Linked DNA regions of Mus musculus. The protein of the gene in region 2 purifies or fractionates together with the protein of the main gene of each other region. This does not show direct contact. Links are inferred from orthologs where the notes say so. Each region holds a gene or a part of one and is shown on either strand. Other genes may lie near its edges. The genes, in order: Sart1, Sf3a2, Snrpa, Cdc5l, Cherp, Prpf3 and Dnajc8.

Region 1 (4,300 bases), on a different chromosome or scaffold from region 2:
TTTAAGGAGCAACCGATCACTTAGAGCAGAAATGGAGCCCTCTTCTCAGAGCCCCCCCAAAACAGAGCCAACCAGCAGCCAGCCTGGAAGACGCCCCTCCCCAACCCTGGACCCAGACTACAGTCCCCGAGAGAAAAATTAAACGCTTTATGGCCAAGTACAGTGTGAGACTTCTGAGGGGAGTTGGCTGTGGGTCGGAGATAGGTAGCGGAAGTGGGTGGCAGAGGTTGAGCTGTTTCCCCCACGCCCTGGAAACCCAGGCTACACCTCATTCTCAACAAGCCGTCTCTCTACTGAGGCGTGGGGCACCGGAAAGGAATCCGCTGAGACTTTGCCATGCTTTCCCCAACATGCCAGGGGACCTAGAAATCTTAGTGAACAGGACCCTGCCTCTGAAGGCGCTCAGTCTCGGGGTGGACCTTCAAAGGTGCCCATCCCCCACACCAAACCACACCAGCGAGGTGCTACACCGGAAGTCCAGAGAGGAGCAACGACTATCAGATGGGAGTGTGTGAACCCTTAACTTAAACCCTTAACCCTTTACTCAACCCAAAACAAAGCAACCAAACTAAACAAACAATCAAACAAACAGAAACCCAGGAAAAGTCGAGAAAAGCATGTAATCCCAGCCTGGGCTACATAGTTAACAGGCTAGACAGAACGGGAAAAACAAAAAAAGGAGGGAAAGCATATACATGCACAAATGTGCCGAATTTGCACTCAAGCCTGGAGTGGCCATGCACACGAGAGGCTGACAGAGGGACTGTGGTGGGTTTGAAGACAGCCAGGGGTAAGTAACAAGTACTAGACCTACCTTTACAAAAAAAGAAAACTAGAAACAAACCATCACTCAGTATCACCAGGTTTATAGGCACAAATTCAAAGAGCACTCCAAAGCCTAGTTAAAAAGGTCCAATCCAGCTGGGCGGTGGTGGCGCACGCCTTTAATCCCAGCACCTGGGAGGCAGAGGCAGGCGGATTTCTGAGTTCGAGGCCAGCCTGGTCTACAGAGTGAGTTCCAGGACAGAGAAAACCCCTGTCTAAAAAATAATAATAAAACGGTCCAATCCATCAGTCTAGGGGACATAGGATGACGGTAGCGTTCGCTAAAAGAAAGAGTATTTTCCAACTCTGGATGGAGCCCCGGCACTAGGGAGCTTGCTTGGACAGTCACTGGAGAGGGGGCTGCCCACAGAGAGACTTGAGGCACAGAGCACCACGAAGCGATCAGAGTGGAAGGGGAAGGAGGCAGGGGAAACTTCTAGCTCCGGAGATGATGACCCAGTACCATGCTAAAGTTCTTACGGCTCTACGACTACCATCTTAGATGGCGCGAGAGGGTGGACGGCGCAGTCTCTACAGGTGCGCGTGCGCAGAGACCAGTAGCTGGCAGGCGGGACCGCGCACCCTCAATCAGTCCCTCCCGTGAGCCTTTGGAGGTTCCCAGGCAGGCCCCGGAAACAGCCCCTCTTAGTTTCCGGCAACAGGAACGGGGCGGTCGCGCGACCCGGAAGCGTTCCCATTTCGCGTCGTCTGGGCTAGGGTAGCGGCCCGGCTCCAGGCGGACGCAATAATCATGGGGTCGTCAAAGAAGCACCGTGGCGAGAAGGAGGCGGCCGGGACGACGGCTGCGGCCGGGACTGGGGGCACGACCGAGCAGCCGCCACGGCATCGCGAGCATAAGAAACACAAGCACCGGAGCAGCGGCGGCGGCAGCAGCGGCGGCGAACGACGGAAGCGGAGCCGGGAGCGTGGGAGTGAGCGCGGGAGCGGGCGGCGTGGGGCGGAAGCCGAGGCCCGCAGCGGCGCGCACGGTCGCGAACGAAGCCAAGCGGAGCCCTCGGAGCGGCGCGTGAAGCGGGAGAAACGCGATGACGGCTACGAGGCCGGTGAGGGCGGGGCCCGGGGGCGGGGCAGGGTCTTGGGATGCCCAGGACGGAGGGTACGGGAGGACCTCGAGGGCCATCTGCCTCTCGGGTTAAAGACGTCCTCCGGGTGTTTGGGGTTAAACGTTGACGTCTCCACGTTAAGCTTTAAGAAGACAGGAGTCTTCCTGCCTTCCCTGTCTTCCTGGCACTTCACAGCAATGCATTGGGTGGGTGAATGAGGTGGGACGAGCGTGTACAGACAATCGACCAATAGCTCATAGCGGAGACATGAAGCAGTAAGATAGGCTTGGGTCTGAACCAGCGCTGTAAGCCCTGTTGAGAAGTTTGGGCTTTGTTATGAGGATGGTAGGGAGCCAAGGATTTGAGTAAGCAAGTGACTTGAATTGCATGATATTTTATGAAGATCAGTGGGTTGAGAGCTTGTCAAACGTAGGACCAGAGATCAAGAGATCGGGAGGGAGGTCCAAGCAACCAGGTGAGGGCTAATAGTATGCATGTTTCTCTATGCAGCGGGCCGGAGAGAAGTGGACAGATTGAATAGGAATTCGGTCTGATTGGCCTGGTGAATGGAGGTGTCATCTGTTGGAACTGAGTTTAGAAGAGAAGCAGATTTGAGGCAGGGGAGAATGACACAGTTTTGGGAGAACTTTATGTTTGGTGTATATGGGAAACCTTACAGTTTAAGTGAGATAGAGTGACTTTGGGCTGGTGTGTATTCAGGAAACCAAAGAAGTGCCTTAGAACATGTGGAATGAGAACGAGAGTCAGGCATAGAACCTGCTAAATTCCAGTAGTTCAGTTGTGGGCAGAGGAACATGTTGAGGAGCATAAATAGTAGCCAGTGGCAGGAACCCACAGTCTGCCCATAGGATCTATGCAAAGAGAGCATTGCTGAAGTGTGATCCACCACAGGACATTAATCTTTTAAACAAAGGATTGTTTTTATGTTAATGCATTTGAGTATTTTACCCTCATGTGCCCGTGCCAGCAGAGGTCAGAAGAAGGCATCGGATCCCCTGGAACTGAATTAGATGGCTGTGAGTTGCCATATGGATTCTGAGAACCAAATTTGGGTCCTCTGTAAGAACAGCAAGTGCTCTTATCCCCTGAGACATCTCTCCAGTCTCCAGATCAGAAATTTTCTTGAAAGTAATCTGCTAGTTGGAAAAAGGGAGACTTGGGACTTGACAGTTCCCACAGAAAGTGGAGTGGTGCCAAGGCAGAGAAAGGGACTGTTGGGTTAAAGAAGAGAGTGACTGCAGTGGTTGAATACGGCAGAGATTTTTGAGAAGATGCCCTCCTGGTAGGGCCTGGTTGGGGGAGCTAAATTTGATGCATCTTCCTCTGTATGGTGTTTGTTGAAGTTCTCTTCTGTTTGTGGGATGGGTAGAGCAGGTCCAGGGTGCATGCCTGCTTATTTATGTTCTTGTTTATGTACATGTACCTGTTCAGCAGCCATGGATGAGCTGGGTTACCCTGAAAGGGGGGCTGGAAATGAAAAGGACTGGGTGCGAGAGAAGGATGAAGCCAAGACAAACGTTTCTGCACGGCTCAAAGTTCAATAGTCAGCCCTGCATTTATATAGGGAGAGCCCGCAGATTTGTTTCTGCTGGACTGAGCTGCAAAGTGAGCTCAGTGGGCAGTCTGCTCCTGTGGGAAGTTGACTCCACCTGGGTCTGGGTCGTTACTGTAGCCTGCTCAAGGCTGGGGGAAGGGCACGTGTATACATCGGGCGTGGAACACTGCTGTGGGCAGAAAGGGCCAGAAATGGTGAGCAGTGCTGTGCAGTTGAAGGCAGAGCCTTAACTCTGGTTAGTAATTGAACAGGGCTTCATGGTGGTTCGAACTCAGAAGTCCACCTGCGTCTGCCTCCCAAGTGCTGGGATTAAAGGCGTGCCCAGCCCACTGCCCGGCTCTTGATTCTTGATAGAATTTTATCGGGGCTGGTGAGATGGCTCAGTGGGTAAGAGCACCCGACTGTTCTTCCGAAGGTCTGAAGTTCAAATCCCAGCAACCACATGGTGGCTCACAACCATCCGTAATGAGATCTGACTCCCTCTTCTGGAGTGTCTGAAGACAACTACAGTGTACTTACATATAATAAAAATAAATAAATTTAAAAAAAATAAAAATTAAAAAAAAAAAAAAAAAGAATTTTATCATAACAAGAGCAGAAAGGACAGTGGAGGCTGAAGGTACAATATGGAGTGCCACAGTGAGGGATGCAGAAAGTTGGGCTGTTGGGTGAGAAGGGAAGGTATTGGAAGAGGCAGTCCTGCCAGCCCAGGGCCTGGGTAGGAGCTGTCAGGGAGCTCGGGAAAAGCTCCTGTCCTTTACCCAGGTGCTGGTGAGGGGCCCTTGTCTTTGACCTTGCGGCTGGACCAGCAGTGTTGCTTCCTGGTCCTGGTTCA
Region 2 (3,688 bases):
CAGGGTCTCACTGTGGAGGGCTGGCTGGCCCCGTGTACTCCTGATGCTCCTGCCTGTGTCCCAGGCTGTCCTCTAACATAACCGCACAGGTTGGCTGGACACCAGCTATCCTTTATCCTTTTGCTTTGACTGTGTGCTCTGGGAATGACCTTACAAATAGTAATGGATACCAGCCATCAGCAGAGTCACTTCTGCATTTTGGGGCTAAAGGGAGGGGGTGTGGCTATTGTCCCTTTTTCTGGAGGGGCAAGGACACTGGGAGTTCCCACCCCTCCTTTCCCACCCCTCTTGCTGGAGGACCAGACTGATCAGGCATGGATGGAACAGGTCTGGCCGGGTTGACAGTGGGGTGGTGATGAGCAGTGTTCTAGGTTCCAGGCCTCTGTTGGAAGCTCCTCCGGACAGCTGCCTATTCCCACTGGTGGACTCAGCACTACAGACTTTTGCAGTGAATGCTGCTCTAAACTGCAGAGGAATTTCTGGGGAGGGATGGGTGCAGAGGCTAGTCACAGGTCTCCCAAGTGCAGCCACAGCCACTGTGATGCCCTGTAGGCTCCCATGCTTGGCTGAGCCCCAGGCCTCAGCTAAGCCGGTACAGTTGCTCTGCCAGGTGCCCGTCCTGCCCTCCCTACCTTCAGCAGCATGTCTCCTTTCTCTTTGCAGGGGAGCTACCTGGCCCATACCCAAGGGAAGAAACATCAGACTAACTTGTGAGTCCCTACAGCCCTGGTTCCCCGGGACCACAACACTGTTACTCAGTAGGGAAATCTGGCTGGATGAATGGGGAGGGGAGGGGAGAGGCTACCTGCGTCTACATTCTTGACCCCCTCCCCCCATCCCCAGCCCATGTTTAGCCTTACTGTCTCAGTACAGAGCAGATGGCCAAGGGGCAAGGACATTGGTGGTGCCAGGATTCTCACCTGTTCTGCCCTGCTTGGTGTACCCCAGGGCAGAGCCGCCTAATCCTCTCCCTCAACTCTTGAGGGCAGGGCCTCTGGCTCCTGGTGCTTGGCCTTGGTGGCTGGTGGAGGGCCCAAGCACTTGTGTCTGTTTGCAGGGCCCGGCGAGCTGCCAAGGAGGCCAAAGAAGCCCCCGCCCAGCCTGCACCGGAGAAGGTCAAGGTGGAGGTGAAGAAGTTTGTGAAGATTGGCCGCCCTGGGTACAAAGGTGTGTGTGTGTGTGTGTGTGATGGCCTCCCTATGGCTGGGGGCTACGGCATGAATGAGCCCTGGCCCTGGCACCGGACATACCCTTGTCCCTAGGACACACAGCCGACTTCTCTGTCCTCAAAGCATCTTTCCCTTAGTGTTGCCAAGAGCCCCCAGGTGCTGATAAGTACCATCCCTACTGGCAATCTCCAGAAGCAGGAGGGGGAGGCTGGCTGTTGCAGTCACTGCCCCTGGAGCCCCTCTGCAGAGGCCCCTGGGTGACGTGGCCTAGCCAGAAGACCAATCACATGGCCAGCAGGAGCCCAGGGACCCAAGTTGCCAAGAGTCCCCTTTGGCAGGCAGGGTCCGTCCTGGGGAGGCTGTGACACAGCACCTCCCTCCTCATACTCTTCTTGGACTTCAACAGCTGCCCCTGCATAGAGTGCTGGGTTGGGTTGCCCTCCCTCACTTTAGGTCCTAGCCAGTGGCCTTAGGCAGAGAAGCCAGGCCTTGTGTTGAGGAACCCTGTTCTGTTGTGCACACACAGCACATAACAGCCCCATCCCTTCTGTTGCAGTGACCAAGCAGAGGGACACAGAGATGGGCCAGCAGAGCCTGCTGTTCCAGGTGAGGTGGGACCAGTCAGGGGTGGACCAGACACACGGGTGGTGATGCCAATAGTGCTGTGCATGTTTTACAGATTGACTACCCTGAGATCGCAGAGGGTATCATGCCACGCCACCGTTTCATGTCTGCTTATGAGCAGAGGATCGAGCCTCCAGACCGCCGCTGGCAGTACCTGCTCATGGCTGCTGAGCCCTATGAGACCATTGCTTTCAAGGTAGCGACCCTACAGGACAGAGAGAGCAGCTAAATTCAGCTGTCTGTGTATCCTAGCCCCTCCTTGGGGTGCTGCAGCCTCTGACTTTCTCCCTAGGTGCCAAGCCGGGAGATTGACAAGGCTGAGGGCAAGTTTTGGACCCACTGGAACAGAGAAACCAAGCAGGTGAGGTTCCACAGGCCTTGCGTGGGTACTCTCTCAGCGCTCCTCAGTGGCCCTGCCCCAGTCACTGACCCTCTCTCCTACAGTTTTTTCTTCAGTTCCACTTTAAGATGGAGAAGCCCCCAGCACCTCCCAGCCTCCCAGCAGGACCCCCAGGCGTCAAGCGGCCCCCGCCCCCACTCATGAATGGACTGCCTCCTCGCCCACCACTCCCTGATGCCTTGCCCCCACCTCCACCTGGTGGCCTGCCTCTCCCTCCTATGCCCCCCACTGGGCCTGCTCCCTCTGGGCCCCCTGGACCTCCCCAGATGCCCCCACCAGCTCCTGGGGTGCACCCCCCGGCCCCAGTAGTACACCCACCAACATCTGGAGTCCATCCCCCAGCTCCTGGGGTACACCCCCCAGCACCAGTGGTCCATCCACCAACATCTGGGGTCCATCCCCCAGCCCCTGGAGTGCACCCACCCACCCCTGGAGTGCACCCACCAGCCCCAGGAGTGCACCCACCAGCTCCAGGTGTCCACCCACCAGCTCCAGGGGTACACCCCCCAACTCCAGGGGTGCACCCACCAGCTCCAGGGGTGCACCCACCAGCTCCAGGGGTGCACCCACCAGCTCCAGGGGTACACCCTCCTCCATCAGCTGGAGTTCATCCTCAGGCTCCAGGGGTACACCCACCTGCTCCTGCAGTACACCCTCAAGCCCCTGGGGTACACCCCCCAGCCCCTGGGATCCACCCTCAGGCACCAGGGGTTCACCCTCAGCCGCCTCCTGGAGTCCACCCTGCTGCCCCGGGGGTCCACCCTCAGCCTCCAGGGGTTCACCCCTCAAATCCTGGGGTGCACCCTGCTCCTATGCCCCCCATGCTGAGGCCCCCACTCCCCTCAGATGGCCCTGGGAACATGCCTCCCCCTCCCCCAGGCAACTGAGCAGTCCCCCCACCAGCCTCTGTTGTCTGTGTGGTCTTTTCCCATTGCCAGTCCTTGGAAGGTTTTCTATTTGTCCTGCCTTGAGCCTATTAAACAGCCTCCCCCGTGTCTCCCTGTCTGCTGTGTGTTTGGTAGTGGGGAGGGTGGATACTGCTTGTCTCTGTTGAAGCTGTGGTGACCTGGGGCGTCCTCCAGGTGGGCTCCCCAGGGAGATGGGAGCTACTCAAGGACAGCTCAGGCCTCTGCAGTTATGGGCCCAGCTCTGAGGACAGAAAGCCCTTTGAGACAGTCGCCTCCCACCTGCTGGGCATGAAAAGTGCCAGGCACTGTCCCCCAAGGTCACCTTTGGTGTTGATAGGGGCGTCCCTCCCAAGCAAGCAATCTGGCTCAGCCATACATATAAGCAGGGCCACCCGGACCTTGCTGTACCACCATGCAGGGGCCACACCTCTCTCCACTGGTACTGCTGCTAGCGACTATGGGGGCTGTGTTACAGCCTGAGGCGGTTGAAAACCTGGCCACCAATACCAGGGGCCTCATCTTCCTTGAAGATGAGCTCTGGCCCCCCAGCAGCCCCCCTGAACCTTTGTGCCTGGTGACAGTGAGAG
Region 3 (3,383 bases), on a different chromosome or scaffold from region 2:
AATAGAGGATCCCTTTTCACACAGGAAGAAAATAAAGCTCACTTTGGGGACACTAACTGCCCATTGGGTGACAGATATAGACATCCCAAATTACAAACCAGAAGGGGCTGACTACAGCATCCATGTGACACAGCCACCGGGCCAATGTGGAGAGGTTTCCTCTCCCCTAGCTGCAACAACATGAGAGTCCCTTAATGATGCAAGCAACAGCTTTGTCCTCCTCACTCAAATGCCTTGGGGACAAAGTCTTCCCTGCGCCACTCCTCTTTACTGCAGAGTGCAAAAGCAGGATCAGGAGCAGCCTCGCCATGTGCTCTTGAAGGAGTATCCCCCTGCGCGGGTTGTCCATGGTGGTCTTGTTCCTGCACTCAGTGATCCTCATTAATACTATTACACTCCCAAGTGTTTTCTCAGACTGGGAACCCACAGACGCCACTAGATCCAGACTTTTGATGTGGAGGGAACCAAGGCAGGCAGGAAAATAAAGCAGACAACACTGGTAAAAAACCAAACCTCAAAAACTCACTTTAATCACAATCTAACAGCGCCAGGTGCAATGTCTGGGGACAGACTCTGGGTACAATGCTGTGTGGCAACCACACACACACGGCTCTGAGAAGGTCCCTAAGGGGGACTTACCTTCAGGGACTGAGCCAAGGGAGGGGGGGAAGGGACTGGGGTACTCCATAGGGAAAGGCGCTACTTCTTGGCAAAAGAGATCTTCATAGCATTGTTTTGTGTGATCTTAAAGCCTTGCAGGGCATCTCGTGCTGCCCCAGCCTGCACTTCATTGTCAAACTCCACGAAGGCGATGTCATGGCGCCCAGGGACCAGACGCACCTCCTTGAAGCCAGGGAACCTGGGAGGAGGGAATAGCAGACCTCAGATACCCACCTCAGCTTTCCCCTAATATTTTGGCACCAAAGTAACAGAGGCCAAAGAGGCTAAGCGTCCCATAATGTAGAACACAGACCCCACACATAAAGATTATCTGGACAAAATACATGGAGAACCCCTACCGTAAACAGCATTAAATGAAAAATCTCAACAATCACAATGTGGCCTCAAACAGCGCTGGCGCCCCTTCCTTCCCCCAAAGTCCAATCCAGTCCCACAAAATGTCACCAATCCCTACTCTGTCTCTGGTGTTTGCTTTGTTGGACTGGATCCCTAGCTCAGGCTGGACCTTAGGTCCTCAGCCTAAGCCCTGGGATTACAAGATGCCATGGTGACTGTTGGAATTCCCTCATTTCCTCCAGGTCAATGGATGTCTTTTCCCACAAGCAGTCTCAGAAACATGCACTATTTTATGGAGATGGCATACAAGCTGTACTGCTTCCAGTTTTATTTGGTTTCTCAAATTTTCCTTCAGCATAATTCTAAAGAATCATCCAAGGCAGGTATGGAAGGTTAGACTTCCACGGAAGGCAGAGGCAGATCACCAGCTCCTGGCTAGCCAGAGTAACATATGAAGACTGTGTATTTTTGCTCAATAAACCATCTGTTTCCATCATAAACAAGAAGGGAGGGGCTGGAGAGAGGGCTCAGCAGGTAAAATCAAGAATTGATCTTGCAGGACCCAAGTTTGGTTCCCAGCACCAATGTCAGGCAGCTCAAAACTGCCTAAAATTTGAACTCAGAGATATCCAACACTTCTGGCACATACCCACACACAGATAAATGCATAATTAAAAGTAAAACGAAGAAAATCTTTAAAAAGAGAGATGGGGTAGGTCGCATGCCAATAAAACCTTCCACATTCCAGGGCTGATTATCCCTCCACACCAGACAAGGCTAAGAGCCTCACGCATGAATAGCAAGTCACACGCCCAACTAAGGGCCTCATAGAATAGAGCCTTGGCTACATAGTGGAAAAATAACCCTCAACTCAGTCCTCCTGCTTCAGCCCTCCAAATACTGAGATTGCAAGCATACATCAGCACTACCTCCCAGGCTTGACCAGACAATTCTGTAAGAGGTGTGCTTGGAAACCTGAAGACTAGGCAAACAGCCCTTCTCCACTTTGCAGTCCCTCTATTCAAGGTCTACAGGTTCCAGCTCACTGGCAGGGCAGAGTTCCTAGTGTCCCCAATGTCCTTGCCATCTTTTGAATAGGCTGGTTCATACCAGTCTAAACCTGCCCAACATTTTGCTGTTCTTTCACTTTTCCCTTGTTCTGAACCTCTCTATGTCACTGAAGCAGAAAAGGCAGCCCGGAACCCAAACTACCTGTGCATGGATGCCCACAGCACTGTCTGTCCTCACGCACCATCTTCCTTTCCTGCTTCACACCTTCAGGTGCTGGGCACCGGAACGACCCGACCCCGCCCGCCCGCCCGCCCGGCCGCCGCCCCACTTACTGGTTGAAGAGCATGGAGAGCATGAGCTCGTTGGTCTCCTCAGGCAGGTTGGTGAGGAACAGGATGTGATTGGGTGGGTTCTCGGAGAGCTGTGGGAGAGATGGGAGCCCATGATCAGGGTACCCTGAGAGGGGTGCTGGGTACGGCACTCTCATCACCACCCCGTTGAGTCTCTCTCACATGTCCCCCAACGCACACACTCTCACCAGTCTCCCAGAGACCAAAGGCCCAAGACAGCAGAGACCTTTCAGCTTTTGCCACTACTGTACTGGGCCCCAGTGTGTGCACTAACCTGGATGCACACCTTGGCTTAGTTAGCTTCAACCTGCTCTCCCAGACCAATTCACAAACCAACTCCCCTCTGACAAGGTCGGCTCACCACAGAGCTCAGCCCCAGCGCCACCCACCACCAACCTAAAAGCCCCCTGTAACTGCTCCACTTCTGCTCGCAGATCATGCTTATGAGACCATGTGGTGGGGCAGGGGCACTTACAGGCTGGGCAGGCGGCATCTGCCCAGGCATGAGCTGCTGTGGGGGCATGGCCCCAGGGGGGATCTGGCCAGGAGCGAGGCCTGGTGGCGGGATCATGCCAGGTGGCGGCATGTAGGGAGGCTGTCCTGGCATATGGTGCATGATGCGGGGTGCCTGAGGCATCGGTGGCATGCCCTGTGGAGAACAAGAACAGGAGTGATGTCACAGGGTCATGGAAAGCAAGGTCACAGTGACTACAGCATGGCCCAACTTTGTTCAGCTGTATATAAAGACACTGGAGGGAGGCTGAAGATAGTTCAGTGGTCAGACAGCATGGTTCCCAACCCCAGACAGCAGCTCCCAGCTCCCTGTGACTCCAGCTCTAGAAGATCCAGTGCCCTCTTCTGGCCTCCACAGGGACTGCGCTCATGTACACATACACAGTCACAAATTTTAAAAGCTTTTGCCATGTAGCTTGGCTGGCCTCGAACCCACAAGGCTATGCCTGCCTTGTGCTGGGACTTAAGGTGTGTAGCACCACGCATGGCCCA
Region 4 (4,186 bases), on a different chromosome or scaffold from region 2:
GGAGGGTATAGGGAACTTTTGGGATAGCATTTGAAATGTAAATAAAGAAAATATGTAATAAAAAAAGGATTTATTTATTTATTTATTTATTTTACGTATATGAATACACTGTAGCTGTAGATGGTTGTGAGCCATCATATGGTTGCTGGGAACTGAACTCAGGACCTCTGCTCACTCAGGCCCCTACTCGCTACTGCCCAAAGATTTATTTATTATTAAACATAAGTATACTGTAGCTGTCTTCAGACACACCAGAAGAGGACATCAGATCTCATTACAGGTGGTTTTGAGCCATCATGTGGTTGGCTGAGATATTAACTCAGGACCTTCAGAAGAACAGTCAGTGCTCTTAACTGCTGGCTCACCAGCCACAGAAAAAAAAAAAAAAAAAAAAAAAACAGAAAAAAAGGACATCTTACCTGGCCCTCAACAAACTGGAGGTGGAAAAAGTCAATGTTAAAAACACTACTTTATGACAGACAAAATTATTCACTGGCATGTACCTGCCATTCTCCTCACAAAGTTCACATACATTTATATATTTTCTCAAAACAAGAACAAAAAATTTCCTGACTATCTACCTTGAAGCAGGTCTTCTATACTTCTGGAGAGAGAATCAAAGAAGAAACTTGAGACTCTGGTTCAACACAGTTCCTCTCTGGCAGGCATCCTACTCACAACAGCCCAGGATCCACAGCTCCTCTACCTCATCAGTCAGCGCCCTGTCTACCTACTCCAATCTCTAAAAACCATTTCACCAGAGTACCCAAAGTATAGCCCAATCCCCAGACATCCTGCCACGCGAGCTCACAGACCTAAGAGTCATAGATGAATGCACTTGAGCACTTTACTTTTAGGCTTTTTCTACAATGAACTTGAATTGCCTGTCTTCTACATAAAACCCTCCACTCCATCTTCTCTCCCACTGCTAACTGGTAGCATACCCACCTAGCATACTTTAAGTCCTGGATTAGATTCCCATAAGACTTTACACATGACAGTACACACCTCTTATGCCAGAACAGGAGAGGTAGAAGCAGGAGGATCAGATGTTAAGGGTCACTCTCATCTACATAGCAAGTTCAAAGTCAATCTAAGCTACATAAGACCCTATCTCAGACAGACAGACATCGACACACAGACACACACACACACTCTGCTGGGTTTTGGCCATTATAGAGGAATCCTGATGTTACTTGATTTTGTGACTCTGCTTCTTCCTCAGAAGCCAACTCTTCTAGTTTAAATTGTCTTAGTGCATGCAAGTCCCTTTTCAGTGCCTCCATTTGTAACTTTGGTAAAGTTTTTCAAAACTTCAACGCATCTTCAACCAAATACATACAACAGGTACCTATCCTACAAGATTCATTCCCAAACATCACCAAGAAACCTGCTTCATACTAGAATGCCAAAGCCTGGTCCTACTATACTGCTGTCTGATGAAGACAACAGCAACTCATTTTTTTTACTGAAAGCCTACTAATGTACCCAGCTGCGTTCACAATGTTCCAAACTGGCAACTCGTTTCAAGAGCTTAAATACAATTATTTATTTGTCTTATAAAAATGAGTAATCTGAGGCTCTCAGAAGTAACTCAGCCGGAGCCACACAAAAGTGCTTGTGAAAACAAAGCTGTAGTAAATGAAAAATAGGTGCCACCAAACCACTAAACAACTAACTCTCAACGGGACGACCAACGAATGGGCCAGGAGGACTCTAAGAAGTGTTCTCAGCTAAGTTTGGAGCATGTTCAGAAAGATGCCAAAGCAATAAGGAGCTATCTCAAGAACGCACAAGACAGACGGAAAGGTGCTCATACATTCGGCGCACTCGATTAAATGCACGTTAACTTAATTTCTATTTTACTTCCTTCCTTCTGCTGTTCCGCTCACCGTGACATAATCTACAACATTTCTGGACGCAAACACCACCGTAGGTAAGTTTGTCCTAACTGGCTTCTATCCCGGCAAGGGTGGCGTGACTGGAAAGGTAAGAGAAAGGACCCAGGTCCTAAGATAAGCAGAGAGGTGCAGACGTAAACGGGCAGCCTGTCCGGCTGTAAAGAAGTCACGGAAAAAACAAAGTTGCAGCCACAACGGCTTCTAACAGAGCGAAGCGCTGTGCACGAGCTGAGATCGAAAGGAGCTGGAGAAACACCAGGCTCCGGGGGAGGTCCGGTCGGCGGCCACCGGGCTGCAGAAGACACCGAGGGGGCGCGTCCCTAACTGATCAAATAAGTGATCAAGGGCCTAGCAAATGCCAAGCGAGGAGCGCCGGGCGACAAGTCGCGACCTCGCCCCCGGGGTGAGCCAGGTGACCCGAGCCCGCACCCATGCACCGCGAGGGTCCCCGGGGTCCGCGCAGTCGCCGCCCCGCACCGCAGACCCCCGCGGGACAGCCACGGCTCCCGGAGCTTCCCCGCGCGTGCGCACACGCTACCAGAGCCGGCGGAGGGCTGCGGACGGCGGGAAAAGCTGCCTCACCTCCGTGTTCCTCCACACTCCCCCTTTGATCATAATCCGGGGCATCTTAGCGGCAGAGTGTCCCGGCAAGGGAGCCGAGGAGAGCTTCGAGAAAGTAGTAACGGCGCTCCGGGCACGGGACGCAAAAGGCCACTTCCTCCCAAGAGCGACCTTCTGCTTTGAAGAGCTCTGCGCAGGCGCGGCGTGGGCAGCCCCGGGAAATCTCGCGAGATCTTAGCGGCCGAAGGCAAAAGACGCGGGCGGCCAGGCTGCAACCTTAAGACTGATGGAGACTAATCAAACCGCAGGTGCCAAGGCGCCCGACGTGTCGCGCGCAGGTCCGAGACTAGGGTGAAGGAAAACAAAACTCTCGCGAGATGCCAGAGTTGGAACTTGACCGGGAACGCAGTGAAGGGATTGGTCCTGACGTCACGCGGAGGGCAGTGCCGGGGGTGGGGAATAAATGTGAGGGGTGTGGCGTTCCTCAGCACGCTTGGTCCCCAGGGAGCGCTGTTTGTTTGTTTGTTTGCTTGTTTGTTTGTCTGTTTGTTTAACGGAGCGCTGCGCTGGGCATCCCGGCGACCGACGAGGACTTCGCTGAGTCCTCGGGGAGATGCAAACGAGTCCGTTCTCTTTCTAGGAGCTCCAACTCGCAGCGCCAAGCGCCGAGGATGCCGGACGGACTCAAGATCCTAACTCTAACCTGAGGGACTGAGCGACTGCTCGCCCCAAAGTGTTCGCTCTCCTTCCTGGAAGAGCCACAAGGGGTTCGAGGCGACGCCCTAGGGACCCTTGGGAAGCGTCACGTCAGCCGCTTTCCCTCATCCCTCGCTGTTGGGTGTCTGTGGAACAAACTCGGTGAGTTGCGGGAGTCTCGCCCCTGGAATCCGGGGTCGTCCTCTGAAGAGTGGAACAAACAACTTGTTCATCAAATCAGAGGGCGGCTGCGAGTCCACAAAGTCTCGGTGAAGTGGAAATTGTCAGACTCTCTGCCATCTCCTCTCTCTTTTCCCACGCAGATTTCTCCACTATTCCAGAGCAATTAATTACTTGGTGTCACCCCAGGTCCCTAGGGAAAGATTTTATTCCGTGCATAGCGGCTCTGGTTTGTTGTCACTGTTCATGCTTCCGTTTGCCCCTTCTAGAAGACATGACGGATTTTCCGATTCGATTTTTGTTACGATTTTTTTCCTTGAAATAGGAAATTGTATCAAAATATCACTGCTTTCAGTTGAGAGGGAGGTAGTGTAGTGTTATGAAGAACACTTGGGTTTAGTGACCTACAATCTCATTTCACTCCTGTCATCTGACAGGATGACAGGTTAACAAGCCATTTTCTGCCTCTGGTACTCTTTGCAATGCTCTCTTGTAAAGATGTGTAACCATTACCTCCTGCCAACATCACTTAGTTGTATGGTTTTTATCCCACACACCCAGGTCACACACCATTTGGTTGACCAGATCAAAGCAAATCTGAACACTCCTCTCTGGGGATCTTAACGCTAGGATCCAAAAGAGGTCAGTGTTTCTGCTAGCTGATAAGCCTCTAACCTACCAATTGTGTGGCACCTAACAATTGTATTTTGAACTACATGGTCCCTGGATCTAGAACATTCCCAAGTCGTAACTACTTCCATATCCCCCTTTTGGATTTAGTCATTGAAGTTAGCTTTCCATTATTTGTAATCGAGAGGCCTAATAAATCCACAGTTGAACCAGTCCTC
Region 5 (3,500 bases), on a different chromosome or scaffold from region 2:
CATGTGTGTAAAGGGTGAAATTGGGCCGTTGTGGTTAGGACCTGGTCACTACTATGCACAAGCAGGTTCAACAATCTGCTCAGAAGGGATTCCCCAGCCTCATAGGGCCACTGAGAAAGCTACCGGGAGCCTAACCACCCATGAGGATTGTGGTCAACACAAGGCACAGCATTTGCCTACCAGGTGCCAAGGCCCTGGCTTCCATGCTCAGTGCCACTGAGAGGGGATAAAGGGAAAGAAGCAGCCAAAGGCAGCCCTTCCAGCTGTGCAGTATTCAGGCCTCGGGAGTAGTAGTGGCTCAGCAAGACAGCCCATATGCAGACCCAGGAAAGGTGCAGGCAGGGACTAATAGCTTCAGCTCCCACAGCTGAGGTCAAAGGGCAGCAAGAGTTGGCCAGGAGGTAGGCAAGGGAAGGCAGTGCAGGTCAGAGCTTTGTGTGAGCCGAGTGAGGAGTGTCCCAGGGAGTGGGAGAGAGGCCATCTGCGCAGAGGCCCTACCTAAGAGGCAGGAGCAAGACACCTTGAGAGGAAATAGAGTACAAAGCAGGAGGGTGTGGACACAGCCTGACAAGGAGGGGTCGCATGAAGATAGTTAGGGAGAAAGATACCAGCTTCTCCTGCTCTCATGGGAGCCATATATACTTATCAACTGTCCTAGCCTCAAGATCATGCTGAAAGCCAGAGGGCAGCCAGCCCAGCTGACTGTTGGCATGTGTCACTAGCATGGGACCTTTGCACCTGTCTCTGACCAGAGTTCTGGACTCTGTTTTCCTTCATCAACTTCACCCGCTGGCCATGCAAAGACACACCTACCAGGCCCCAGGAGGCTGGAGCCAAATACAATGCAAAGAGAAGACTGATGGAGAGAGGATCAGCAAAGGTAGCCCTAAGACATGGAAGAGCAGACAGTGCATCGGCCAGGTGTCTGGCTATGCAGACCGAAGCAGACACATGATGGCTACAGAGGCAGAGAGGAGGCAGCAGTGCCCAAGGCCTGCCTTGTGGGGTGCCAGCCACTGTCCTGGGAGTACAAGCAGTGAACCAGTGTGCAAGTGCAGCAAGGGTGGAAACTGGAGGAGTTGGGGGTCCCTGACAGGTGTGGGCTCTGGACCAAGTGGTCAAGTACTTACCAGTGGTGCAGCACGTCATTGATCAGATAGATGAGGTGTAGCCGCAGCTCGAAGTGTGCGCCATCAGCAGTGATGCGGTTGCGCAGGTGGCCTGCCATCAGCTCACAGTGTGGTGGGGACTTAGCATTGCTGAACATCCAGTTCTTCCCAGCCTGAGAGTCAGTCCAGGGTGAGTGGGTGGTCAGTCGGGCAGGCGACGACACCCCCACCCCATACTGAGCCTCACCGAGATGGCATCCTTTGTGCAGGTGTCAATGATGGGCTGTAGCAGGTTGTCAAACTCGCTCATGTCCAGTTGTGTCTCTTCCAGCAGCTTCTGCATTTGCTGTTCCACTGCATGTGCCACGGCTGTCGTTACTTGCTCCTGGGAAAACCACAAGGGACAGGTGGTATGAGCAGGGCCCTTGCACAAACACTGGTATCGTCCATCATCACAGCAGGCAAGGCAGCCTGGCCTAAGCTAACAGGAAAATGTGAAGGAGGCAGGGTGCTCATGGATCACCTAAGCAGAGCAAGGCAGGGGGTAAAGGCTAACACATGTGCCTGTGACCATTTGGGAGGCTGAGGGCAGCTTGGGGAGATGCTATCTCAAAACCAAACCAAACCAATCTAAACACAAGCAAGTAAATAGTAGGTATAGGTCACCAAGAGTAGAGGCTGGTTCTGCTGTCTAAGACCTAACTGTCCAGACTATGACTGATGGTAAACATCCATGCATGATATGTGATGGTGGTAAGCAAGGAAACCCTGAGTGGGGCTGGCACTCAGGTCTGTATGTCTTCTCTCCTTTCATTTCAGGTAGCTCATCCCTATAGAATTTGGCAACAGAACCAACCTAAAAGATGGGGCCAATAATGCCCCTCCCTACTCATTAAGAATGGTAGGTACCTAAGCCGCCATGTGTTGGCATCCACAATGGGTACAAGTCCACTGAGCGATGCCTGTGGATGACCCACAGACCTACTGGAAGGTGACTCCAGGGTCACTGACAGTACATGCAGGCATACCTGGCGCAGGGCCAGCAGGTGCTGTTCCTGCTGCTGGAGACTCCACTGGCTCTGTTGGATGAGCTCGTCCATTGATGGGGTGCCCTGGGCCGGAGTGAGGGACGCTGTGGGAGCCAGCGGAGGTTGTGGCAGAGGGGGCATGGCTGAGGTGGGCTCCAGCTCTGGGGCCTGCTGCTTGCAGATTACTAGCAGGAAAGAGATGGGCCTTGTGAGCTCAGGGGGTGCCCCAGGTTCCTTTTGGTGATCCATCAGGTTGCCCTCCAGAGAGAGGACCTGATGGATCCACTGTCCACCGCACACGGCCATCCTGCCCAAGCTTCCCTGTTGTGCTTGATCTCACTGTCCCAAGACAGGCTGACCCTTCCATCTTCCCTTCTCATGCAGGCCTGACCAAGCTACTATGCACTGCAAGCTATGACCAGGGCTGGAGATGTGGCACCTCTCCCAAGGTGTGTCTGTCCCAAGCCACTGGATCCTAATCTCCCCTTCACTCAAGACAGCCAGCATTCTGGAGGTCTGGCCAGTACACATAGGGCTGGAGTGCCCCCAAGACCAGCCCCACCTCTTGTGGCTTGTGGTGACCGTCCCAATCTGCAGCCTTTGGACTAGCTTGAATCACCAGCAACACCCTGGTATGACTGTATATGAGGCTGGCATGTACCCAGATAAGGTCTCTGGAGAGGAAGGCCCCTACTCACAGGTACGACTTTAACAATATGGCCTCCTTACTCTCTACTTTTAGGCCCTGCCTGCCTCAACTGAACATAGCCACACTCTTAGGAGCCTAAGACTCATCAAAACAAATGACTTTGGATAAAAGCAAAGAAAGACAGTGTCACCTAGGCTTTAATGGCACCCTACATGTCTGCCTGGTTCATACTGGTTCATAAGCTCCAGATCCCATATTCCTTTTGGAAGCTCCACTTTGGAGGTGTCACCATGGGCCATTGGGCTTTCACAGACTTAGGCCTCTCAAAGTCCCTGCACTGCCTCCCAGTCGAGTATAGCAAGCCACTCAGATGAGCGGTATACATACCCTCACACTAGTCAACAGCATGCCAACTACATGCACTCTTCCACATCACTGCTATCGATCTGCCTTTGCGTGTATCACACCTAATAGGAAACTGTGTTCTACACCAGAACAGGCCTCTACCACAGCAGTCAGAGTGGCTTGTGAGCAGCCTTGAGTGTCAATTGCTATGGAACAAGCAACACCCTACAGCTCACATTTTTATTGTACTTTACAAAAACAAGACCATGATAGGAGTAGAATTTTTTTTTTTTTTAAACTAGAAAAGTTTTCTTTGTGTAGACTGTCTTAGAAACTCTCTGTAGCTGGGCAGTGGTGGTGCATGCCTTT
Region 6 (4,056 bases), on a different chromosome or scaffold from region 2:
TATTTGGGGGATGTGTAGTGGGGAACTTGCCATGGTAGACAAGTATTTATTAAGTACTTAATTGTATGAGTGTTACTGTAAGTATAAGCACTAAGCGTGTGGTGGCTATTCCTGGTTATCTACTTGACTATATTTGGAATGAACTACAATTCAGAATTGGAAGGCTCACCTGTGATCCTAATCTGGAGGCTGAGATATACAATTTCTGACCTGGATCTTGGCACGGAGATCTTGAGGCATAGTGGCTATAAATTCCAGAAAATTAAGACTGGGGGATCTTTGAGTTGAAGGCTTGGTGGCACACACCTTTCATCTGGGCCACACCTTCTGCTGGAGACCTACATAAGGACATTGGAAGAAGGAAGATTCTCTCTCTCTTCTCCACCTGCTTGTCTTGTGGGACTGAGCAACTGCTAGATCCTTGAACTTCCTTTCATAGCTGCTGCTGCCCATTGTTGGGACTTGGACTACAGACTGTAAGTCATCAACAAATCCCCTTACTATACAGAGACTACCCATAAGTTCTATGACTCTAGAGAACCCTGACTAGTACAAAGCCTAAGTTAACTTTTATGAATACGGTAGATGATACTACAAGTACAATAAGGAAAAAAAAAAGAAAAAAGAAAAAAAAAGTGGGACTCTAGAGCGTCAAGTATCAAAATTAAATAGGGCGGCCAGAAAGGCTTCTCTAAGGCTAATTTGAGCACAAACCCGAAGTAGAGTGGAGTGCAAATCTTGTAGTTTTCTTAGTAAAGAGCCATGCAAGGCAGAAAGCGACAAGCGAGAAAGTAGTCTGGTTTCTGAGGCTGAGCTAGCAATTGGAATACTGTTATCCCTAGAGGTTAGGAAGTGAGGCAGGTTTTGGTGTTTCATTGGCGAATGGGAAGCCAGGGGATAGCTCTGAATCTGTTCTTTTTTGTTGCCTGGTCTCTGGTATCGATTTTAAATTAGGGAGGCAAAGTTAAGGGAGGGCAGCTAATGCTAGAGATCACAATTTTTTTTTTTTTAAACTAGAAAGGACACTTTGAGTACGAATGTGGACGTCCTTGCTTTTAGTTCTAAGTGATAATCTTAGCGCACTAACTCTTTGGACCCGAGGGAATGTGATGCCAACCGATTTCTGCTCCGGGAAATAATGCCCGAACTAACGTTGGCATCGCTCCGGGACAACCCGCGGACTAGGCTTTAGGATCCCGCGGCGCGTGCGCCCCGCGGCCGGCACCTTGATACCGCGGCTGCGCAGCTGAGGCCCCGCCTTCCGTAGTCACGTGCCGTAGGGACCGCAGCGTGGCGGTGTGTGGCGGTAGCGACGGCGGGCCGTAGGGCAACCGGAAGGTTTCCGGTTCCGGTGTAACGTTCGGGCTCCGTCTCAGGGGCTGAAGTTTGTGAGGTGAGTAGTGGCCCCGCGCCCGAAAGGCTGTAGCCTTCGGTGCGAGCGGCTGGACAGGGCGGGAGTGCTCGGCGGGAAGCAGGCTGGGAGGACTCCCTGGTTCTGTCCGGGGAAGAAGTCAGAATGGGCTGGCTGAAGGCAAAGGGCGGGGGCGGGAAGCAGCAGGGTGGGCAAACCTGCCCTGAGGTGAGGAGTTAGCGCGGACTCGGTGGGGCCGGGGCCAGGTGGGAAGATAGCAAAGACCGGAGCATGGGGTTCCAGGGGCTTGTAGCGTAGAAAAGTAAGGAATCCCTTCGGAAGATGAGATTCTGCTACCTGCTCATTCAGAAGACAGCGTTCTGCCTCCCTCCCCTTCCCCTTCCCCTTCCCCTCCACCCCCCAGCCCCCCACCGACGCTGACGCCCCCTCGCTATTAGAGTTGAACATCTGGTTAGTGACAACTCTACTGACTGAAACTTTCTTATCCATTGACTGTTTCGTTTGCACATTCGGGTCGAATTTGAAGACATCCATTTGTTAGTATATTTCTTGAGCTTACATCCAATATGCTTAATATGCTTCACCTATTACTCTGGATTTTGAAAATTGCTTAAACTTTCTAGCCTATTATTCAATTGTAGTGGGTTGTAAGTCCCATTAACATGAGGATTCTTGGCTGTTTTGTTCACTGCTGTGTGTGTCCTTACATGCAGTAAGTATTCTGCTTGACAAGAAATAGTAACTTAAGTATTTATTGAATGGAGTGTTATACCAGATGTCTCATTTTCTAAGATAAGTATACTGAGGCTCTCGGGAATTAACTTGCTTTCCTAAGGGCTTATGAATGGTGGTGCTTACTATATTCTATCTTAAATGGGCTTTCTTCTCCACTTTTAGTGCCTGTGGTTGCTTTCTTTTTGATAGGCAGTATACTGCTATCTCATGATGGCCCAAAAAAGCTATCCCAGGATTATTCATAAAAGTTGTCACTGAGAAACAGCCTTCCAGATTCATTCAGATGTATTAAATACTGTGTATTGACAGATCTTATGAGAGAGAAATCTGTCAAGAATGTAGGAGCTAATTAGACTGCATCTTTTTTTTTTTTTTTTTTTTTTTATGACAAGGTCTCATGTAGCCACCGGTGATGTTGAACTCTGTAGCCAAGGCTGGACTTGAACTCCTGATTCCCCTTGTGCTGGGATCACAGGCTTGTATGATCATTCTGAGGTTGCATTTTTTAGATGTCTTTAAACATCTTGAAAGAGTAATTCCCAGATCATACTAAGATGCATGGCAGTGCTAAGAGGAGGTCTTATGGGAAGTTGAGGTCGGTGCAGTCAATAGATTGACATGCAGCCATTAGGAAGAAAATCAGAAATTAAGTTATCTTTATGCTGGTGAAGATGTTGAGATTTAAGATTACCCAAATGTAAGCATGAATAGTGTTGAAATTTTTCTCCAACTGTGTTAAGTAATAAAAAAATCATGTTGGTGTATAGAATACTTACCAGCATGAATAAAACTACAGAGAAAGGTGACAGCATTCTTAAGGATTATGAGATTTAACACAGGAGGACTGACTTGAATAAACCCTCTTCTTTGAATCCGTTAGACAAGTTTTAGGTCAAAGTTAGGTTAGAGAATGGCTTCCAGAGCAGAAGTTGACTTCTAGATTGACTCTTCAGATGTTCTGTTTGCCAGTCTTTTGTGTGACAGGGTCAGAGTTAGAACCCATTCCTCAGATTACGTTATTCCTAGTTTGTTCATTCTTTAGATAGCAATGATGACTGATGCTGAGTTAGAATTAAAATATCAAATGAGTGGGGCATGGTTGTATGCTCCTAGAATTTCTCACTGGGCAAGTGGAGACAGGAGAGTTGCCAAGTGTTGAGTTCTGTATGAGCTACATTGTAAGACCGTATCTCAAAAAAAAAAAAAAACAAAAACAAAAACTAATGGACCCCTTCCTTCTGTTTTGAAGCTTGGTTTTAGGGAATGTATTTCCCTTCATATGAAGTGGAGAGATGTGCTTGGGGTTGAAAATAGGAATGGGGAAAAGCACTCTTATTATGCTATTATCTTGATTGTTTTGTTTTCCTTTTCTCTGACTCTTGCTTGGTTTCTTTTAGGTGTAGTTTTTTTGTCCCATTGGAGCTCTCATTCTCCATTTTCTCCGAAATGGCGCTGTCTAAGCGGGAGCTGGATGAGCTGAAGCCATGGATAGAGAAGACGGTGAAGAGAGTGCTGGGCTTCTCAGAGCCCACAGTGGTCACTGCAGCCTTGAACTGTGTGGGGAAGGGCATGGACAAAAAGAAGGCGGCTGGTGTGTACCTCTCTCACTCTTCTGACGTATAGTGATTCCAAACACTGATTTGAACTTCCCCAGGTTGTCCCTGTTAGGAGCATTAAAGGAAAGGTGGTGCTAGCCCCCTTCTCCTTTTGTTATTTGCTTGTTTTGAGACAAGGTCTCCTGTGTAGTTGTGTCTGACTTGGAACTCCTTAGAGATCCACCATCCTCTGCCTCCTGAGTGCAGGGGTTAACAGTGTGCACCACTCCCTCCTCCCCCTTTTTTATTTAAAAGACAGGGTCTCATGGAGCCCAGTCTGGCTTCCAGCTCACTAGCTGAGGATGGCCTAAGACTTATGAGTCTATTTCCTCTACATCAGCAGCTCTCCAGCTG
Region 7 (4,248 bases), on a different chromosome or scaffold from region 2:
ATAACGAACTCGTACATAACTGTCATATGCAAAGCTCTCCCACCAAACTCTACAGTAACAATCTACTCACCTCAAATGGGTTCAGATTAAAGTAAGAGGAACCAGGACGAGTCAATCTTTCAATTTGATTTTTGGATGTTAGAACTGAATCTCTCTTCTCTATTTGTTTCACCTAAAAGTAAAAGAATTGGTAATCCCATTAGTAAGAATAAGCTAAATATATCTACTTTAACACAACGCTAAAATGCTCAGCAGACAACGATTTATATCTCCCATGTCCAAGACACTTTGGTAACTGGAGAACAACCACAGCGGCGTAGCTATTTTACAATGATATTTCAGATCTCCACGTAAATGCTAAGCATGGCCGCGTGCGCCTGGAAACCCAGAGCTGGGCAGGGAGGAGACAGGGAGGCCCCCAGAGCTCACACCCTGCACAGCCCGGCTAAACTGCTGAGCTCCAGGTTCAGTGACAGGTCTTGTCTAAAAGAATAATATGGACAGTGAAAAACATATGACAATGACCTCTGTGCCCATTTGTGTATACATGTACGCTACATGCAATCTGTAAAATTCACATTTACTATGTAAACACTTCTCTCCAGGAGTATTAGCCACTCCACATTTTTTTTAATTATTTTGTTTTATGAATATGAATGCTCTATCTGCATGAATACCCACATGCCGGAAGAGAGCATCAGATCTCATTACAGATGATCGTGAGCTACCATGCAGTTATTGGGAATTGAACTCATGACCTCTGCAAGAGCAGCCAGTGCTCTTAACCGCTGTGCCATCTCTCCAGCCCCCATTATCCCATTATAGGGAAATTATGGCTTACAGAAAGTGAGGTTTCCAATTACCTAACTTGTTAGAAATTTACCCTATGTCTGACTCACAATCAGAGGTCGAGAGGATTCCCAGATACTAAACACAACTACCACCAGAGACCTATATAGCTGCATGTGGGTACAATTAATCTATCTTTTTTTTTCTTTTCATTTTGAAAGGCAAAATGCACACTGAACCATGACCTATGAGCAACATTCAACACCATTATGAAGGACTTACGAGGTGGCTCAGTTGGTGGAGTTCTTGCCTAGCATGCACAAGATCCTGGGTTTGACCCTTGGCAAAAGAAAACGGCTGGGTGTGGTGGCTCATTCCTGTACACGAGCACTTAGGAGGCTGAAGCAGGAGAGTGAGCCCTAGTTCCAAGCAGCCTACACTGCGAAGTGAGTAAAGCCACCTAAGCTTCATTGGGTACTTGTCTTAAAAACAAAAGGACAAGCAGGGTGATGGCGGCAACCATCTTTGACAGACACGGGTGGGTGATCTCTGTGAGTTCAAGGCAAGCCTGGTCTACAAAGCACCAGGACAGCTAGGGTTGTACAGGGAAACTCTTGTCTCAAAAAGCCAAAACTAAATTTAAAAAAATATAATAAAAACACAAGAGGGCTAAATCAGAGTCCGTGCTGATTGTCAATGTTGCACCGGGAAGCACAGGCCTTTCTTCTCTGTTTCCTGCCTGAGGATGTCAACTGCCCTGCCTCCATTTTCCACCAAGATGGACCAAAATTTCTCCAACTGTGAGCAATGCAAAATATGCTAACAATGTGAAGGAAAAAAATATTTCCTAACATAAAAAAAAAATTTTTTTTTTGTTTTTGTTTTTTGAGACAGGGTTTCTCTGTGTAGCCCTGGCTGTCCTGGAACTCATTCTATAGACCAGCCTGGCCCTGAACTCAGAAATCCGCCTGCCTCTGCCTCCCAAGTGCTGAATTAAAGGCATGAACCACCATCGCCCGGCTTACAAGTATTCTTATAAGCACAAGAGATAATGGCTCTGGTCCCAGCACTTTGGAGGCTGAAGCAAGAGGGTCCAACCTGGGCTACCAGAAAGTACTTAATTCGAAAACGACTGCTTTATAATTTTCAAGCTGCTTTTTTATACACGAAACCCTTTAATCGTCGTGAAAACTCTTACAATGTTAACTTGCCAGTGTGGGAACTGATGTCTTGAAATTTCAACAGCAGTTAGGCTAATTGCCTTGCGAGAACGCAATATGTGGGCCTCTGACGCCAGATAGCTAACTTTAACTCAGTTTATTCATTCATTTAATCAACGGATATATGCGAAACATCCACCACGCATTAGGCACTGGCGATGCAAATGTCAACAAGGCTCAGAGCAAGTTCACTCCTGTCCTACCTGACACCAAGAACGTATGCACCCTCTTAAGAGGTTCGTCATGTTAAAGATGGAGGGTTCACATACGCATTCTTGTCCCGATGAACAGTGCTCAGCACTGATAAGACCGCAGAAATCGCCACTCGCACAATTCATGGCAGAGGAGTGGGACAAGGGCCTCCTTCCTGTTTACAAATAAAAGTGGGTGCGCCGCAGCTCGGCCTCCGCCAGCCGGAGACTCCACCGCCAGCAGGCTGCACCGCGCGACCAGCAGCTCGCCGGGCCCCTCTCCGGGTCTGGGTCCACAGGCCCAGCCGCCCCGCCGCGTTCCGGGGACCTCAGTAGCCACAGTGGCGGTCGCGCATGCACTCCGCAGCCGATCCGCAGTCCCCAGGCCAGACGGCGCGGGCCAACGGTCCCAGGAGGCGCCTCGCCGGCCCCAGCCGCGGCGGACGAAGCCGGAGCACGGTCGTCCTAAGGCCACCATCCTTACTCCGGGCTCACCTCACTGTAGAAGGTCATAAATGCCTCCTCTGTGCTGCCTCCGCCACCCGAAGCACCACTCTCTCCCGAAGCCGCCATTTTCCCGGCTAACCACCACGTGACCGTTCTGCGCAAGCGCAGCCTCACGTAACCACCCAAGCCCGCCTTCCCGGACTCCCCGCCCGCCAGCTGAACTTAAAGGGGCCGAGACCTCTTTTTTTTTTTTTTCGGTTTTAGTTTTGGTTTTTCAGAATAAGGATAAAGTTTCATAGTGTTGCCCTGGTTGTCTCCAGTCTCTGACAGAAAGAAATCTGTTGTCTCTGGATATACCTATTATTATTCTGGACATTTCCCATGGATGGAATCTACTTATACAATTCTTATTTAGGTTTTTTTCATGTGACAGTTTTTTGGTTTTTTTGACCCAGGATTTCTCTGTGTAGCCTTGGTTGTCCTGGAATTCTCTCTGTAGACCAGGCTGACCTCAAACTCACAGAGATCTACATGACTCCCTGGAGTGCTGGAACTGGCCTGGGTAACCACCATGTACCAGTTTTTTAAGAGTTTATCCCAGTGGAGCCTATCCTGGTACTCCAGAGGCAGAGGTAGGCAGATCTTCTGAGTTTGGGGCCAGCCTAGTCTCTATAGTAAGTTTCAGGACAGCCAGGCCTGTGAAAAAAAAACTGTCAAAAAAATTTTTTTTTTTTTTACTGCATTTTATGGTGGCATCCAATTCCTCAAAGGTATGTCTATGCTATGATTTGTTGACCTCTTCAGTAGTTCAACATTTGGGGTCTTCTCACCTTTGGACCACTGTGAAATAGTATTATGAAGCTGGACATATGCCTGTAACCCCAACTCTGGGGAGGTGGAGACGGAAAGATGAGAAATTGGCTTCTTCACTGCGAGTTTGAGGCCATCCCGAGTTACAACAGATCTCATTGAGGTAGGGACAAAATCGGAAAATGGGATGGAAGCAATTATGAGCATGCATGTATAAGGATCTGTGCTTGGAGTTTGTTATTTAATTTTTAAAATTATACTTACTTATTAGTGGGGGCACAGTGTCACAATGCACATGGAGAGGTCAGGGAGAACAACTTTCAAGAGTCCGTTCTCTCCTTTCACCATTGGGGCCCAGCACTAGCCCTATGTGTGGGGGGCGGGGGGGGTGCGGGGGGGGAGTGTATGGGGGGGTGTGGGTGTTTATTCGTTTGTTTCTGAAAACAGGATCTTGTTATGAAGCCCTGGCTGGCCCAGAATTCCCTTTGTCGAATAGGCTAGATTAAGCTAGATTAAGCTCTTCCTGTGTGCCTCAGGAGTGCTGGGATTACAGGTTTGTACCACCAGTTCGCTTGATGTTCTTTTCAGTGTCCTTGTAGCCCGTCACCAAGTTATTAGGTCCATTCACCGACACATTGATACAGTTCAAAATTACTAATTCACTACCTACTAAGGCTCTGATGGCTTCACAAAGTAAACTGTGAGAAAGAACTCAGAAGCAAGGATAAAAAAAAATTGCTGTCAGGATGACTAGGAAGGTCAAAGAAGGGTTTCTCTGAGAAAGTGACATT

The links.
Region 1: the proteins of Sf3a2 (region 2) and Sart1 purify together in Homo sapiens (affinity purification with mass spectrometry; 3 studies listed by BioGRID and IntAct, with this or other methods). This does not show direct contact. The link is inferred for Mus musculus from reciprocal best matches to the Homo sapiens genes SF3A2 and SART1.
Region 3: the proteins of Sf3a2 (region 2) and Snrpa fractionate together in Homo sapiens (co-fractionation; 3 studies listed by BioGRID and IntAct, with this or other methods). This does not show direct contact. The link is inferred for Mus musculus from reciprocal best matches to the Homo sapiens genes SF3A2 and SNRPA.
Region 4: the proteins of Sf3a2 (region 2) and Cdc5l purify together in Homo sapiens (affinity purification with mass spectrometry; 3 studies listed by BioGRID and IntAct, with this or other methods). This does not show direct contact. The link is inferred for Mus musculus from reciprocal best matches to the Homo sapiens genes SF3A2 and CDC5L.
Region 5: the proteins of Sf3a2 (region 2) and Cherp purify together in Homo sapiens (affinity purification with mass spectrometry; 3 studies listed by BioGRID, with this or other methods). This does not show direct contact. The link is inferred for Mus musculus from reciprocal best matches to the Homo sapiens genes SF3A2 and CHERP.
Region 6: the proteins of Sf3a2 (region 2) and Prpf3 purify together in Homo sapiens (affinity purification with mass spectrometry; 3 studies listed by BioGRID and IntAct, with this or other methods). This does not show direct contact. The link is inferred for Mus musculus from reciprocal best matches to the Homo sapiens genes SF3A2 and PRPF3.
Region 7: the proteins of Sf3a2 (region 2) and Dnajc8 purify together in Homo sapiens (affinity purification with mass spectrometry; 3 studies listed by BioGRID and IntAct, with this or other methods). This does not show direct contact. The link is inferred for Mus musculus from reciprocal best matches to the Homo sapiens genes SF3A2 and DNAJC8.

What each region holds. Positions count from the first base shown.
Region 1 is NC_000085.6:5,385,904-5,390,203, reverse strand, and holds the start of Sart1 (U4/U6.U5 tri-snRNP-associated protein 1), read left to right. Parts: upstream 1-1,500; 5' UTR 1,501-1,576; coding exon 1,577-1,889; intron 1,890-4,300. Other genes in the region: Tsga10ip (testis-specific protein 10-interacting protein), read left to right, coding at 7-142. UniProt on the Homo sapiens protein: Plays a role in mRNA splicing as a component of the U4/U6-U5 tri-snRNP, one of the building blocks of the spliceosome. May also bind to DNA.
Region 2 is NC_000076.6:80,801,735-80,805,422, forward strand, and holds the end of Sf3a2 (splicing factor 3A subunit 2), read left to right. Parts: intron 1-663; coding exon 664-710; intron 711-1,057; coding exon 1,058-1,167; intron 1,168-1,725; coding exon 1,726-1,775; intron 1,776-1,848; coding exon 1,849-1,989; intron 1,990-2,085; coding exon 2,086-2,154; intron 2,155-2,237; coding exon 2,238-3,080; 3' UTR 3,081-3,188; downstream 3,189-3,688. Other genes in the region: Amh (muellerian-inhibiting factor precursor), read left to right, coding at 3,514-3,688. UniProt on the Homo sapiens protein: Component of the 17S U2 SnRNP complex of the spliceosome, a large ribonucleoprotein complex that removes introns from transcribed pre-mRNAs.
Region 3 is NC_000073.6:27,186,506-27,189,888, forward strand, and holds the end of Snrpa (U1 small nuclear ribonucleoprotein A), read right to left. Parts: intron 3,028-3,383; coding exon 2,854-3,027; intron 2,450-2,853; coding exon 2,361-2,449; intron 860-2,360; coding exon 700-859; 3' UTR 501-699; downstream 1-500. UniProt on the Homo sapiens protein: Component of the spliceosomal U1 snRNP, which is essential for recognition of the pre-mRNA 5' splice-site and the subsequent assembly of the spliceosome. U1 snRNP is the first snRNP to interact with pre-mRNA.
Region 4 is NC_000083.6:45,430,908-45,435,093, forward strand, and holds the start of Cdc5l (cell division cycle 5-like protein), read right to left. Parts: upstream 2,801-4,186; 5' UTR 2,529-2,800; coding exon 2,484-2,528; intron 1-2,483.
Region 5 is NC_000074.6:72,468,734-72,472,233, forward strand, and holds part of Cherp (calcium homeostasis endoplasmic reticulum protein), read right to left. Parts: intron 2,323-3,500; coding exon 2,138-2,322; intron 1,495-2,137; coding exon 1,357-1,494; exon of another isoform or gene 1,283-1,356; coding exon 1,131-1,282; intron 1-1,130. UniProt on the Homo sapiens protein: Involved in calcium homeostasis, growth and proliferation.
Region 6 is NC_000069.6:95,853,086-95,857,141, reverse strand, and holds the start of Prpf3 (U4/U6 small nuclear ribonucleoprotein Prp3), read left to right. Parts: upstream 1-1,256; 5' UTR 1,257-1,393; exon of another isoform or gene 1,394-1,822; intron 1,823-3,504; 5' UTR 3,505-3,553; coding exon 3,554-3,698; intron 3,699-4,056. UniProt on the Homo sapiens protein: Plays a role in pre-mRNA splicing as component of the U4/U6-U5 tri-snRNP complex that is involved in spliceosome assembly, and as component of the precatalytic spliceosome (spliceosome B complex).
Region 7 is NC_000070.6:132,534,111-132,538,358, reverse strand, and holds the start of Dnajc8 (dnaJ homolog subfamily C member 8), read right to left. Parts: upstream 2,801-4,248; 5' UTR 2,774-2,800; coding exon 2,696-2,773; intron 173-2,695; coding exon 71-172; intron 1-70. UniProt on the Homo sapiens protein: Suppresses polyglutamine (polyQ) aggregation of ATXN3 in neuronal cells.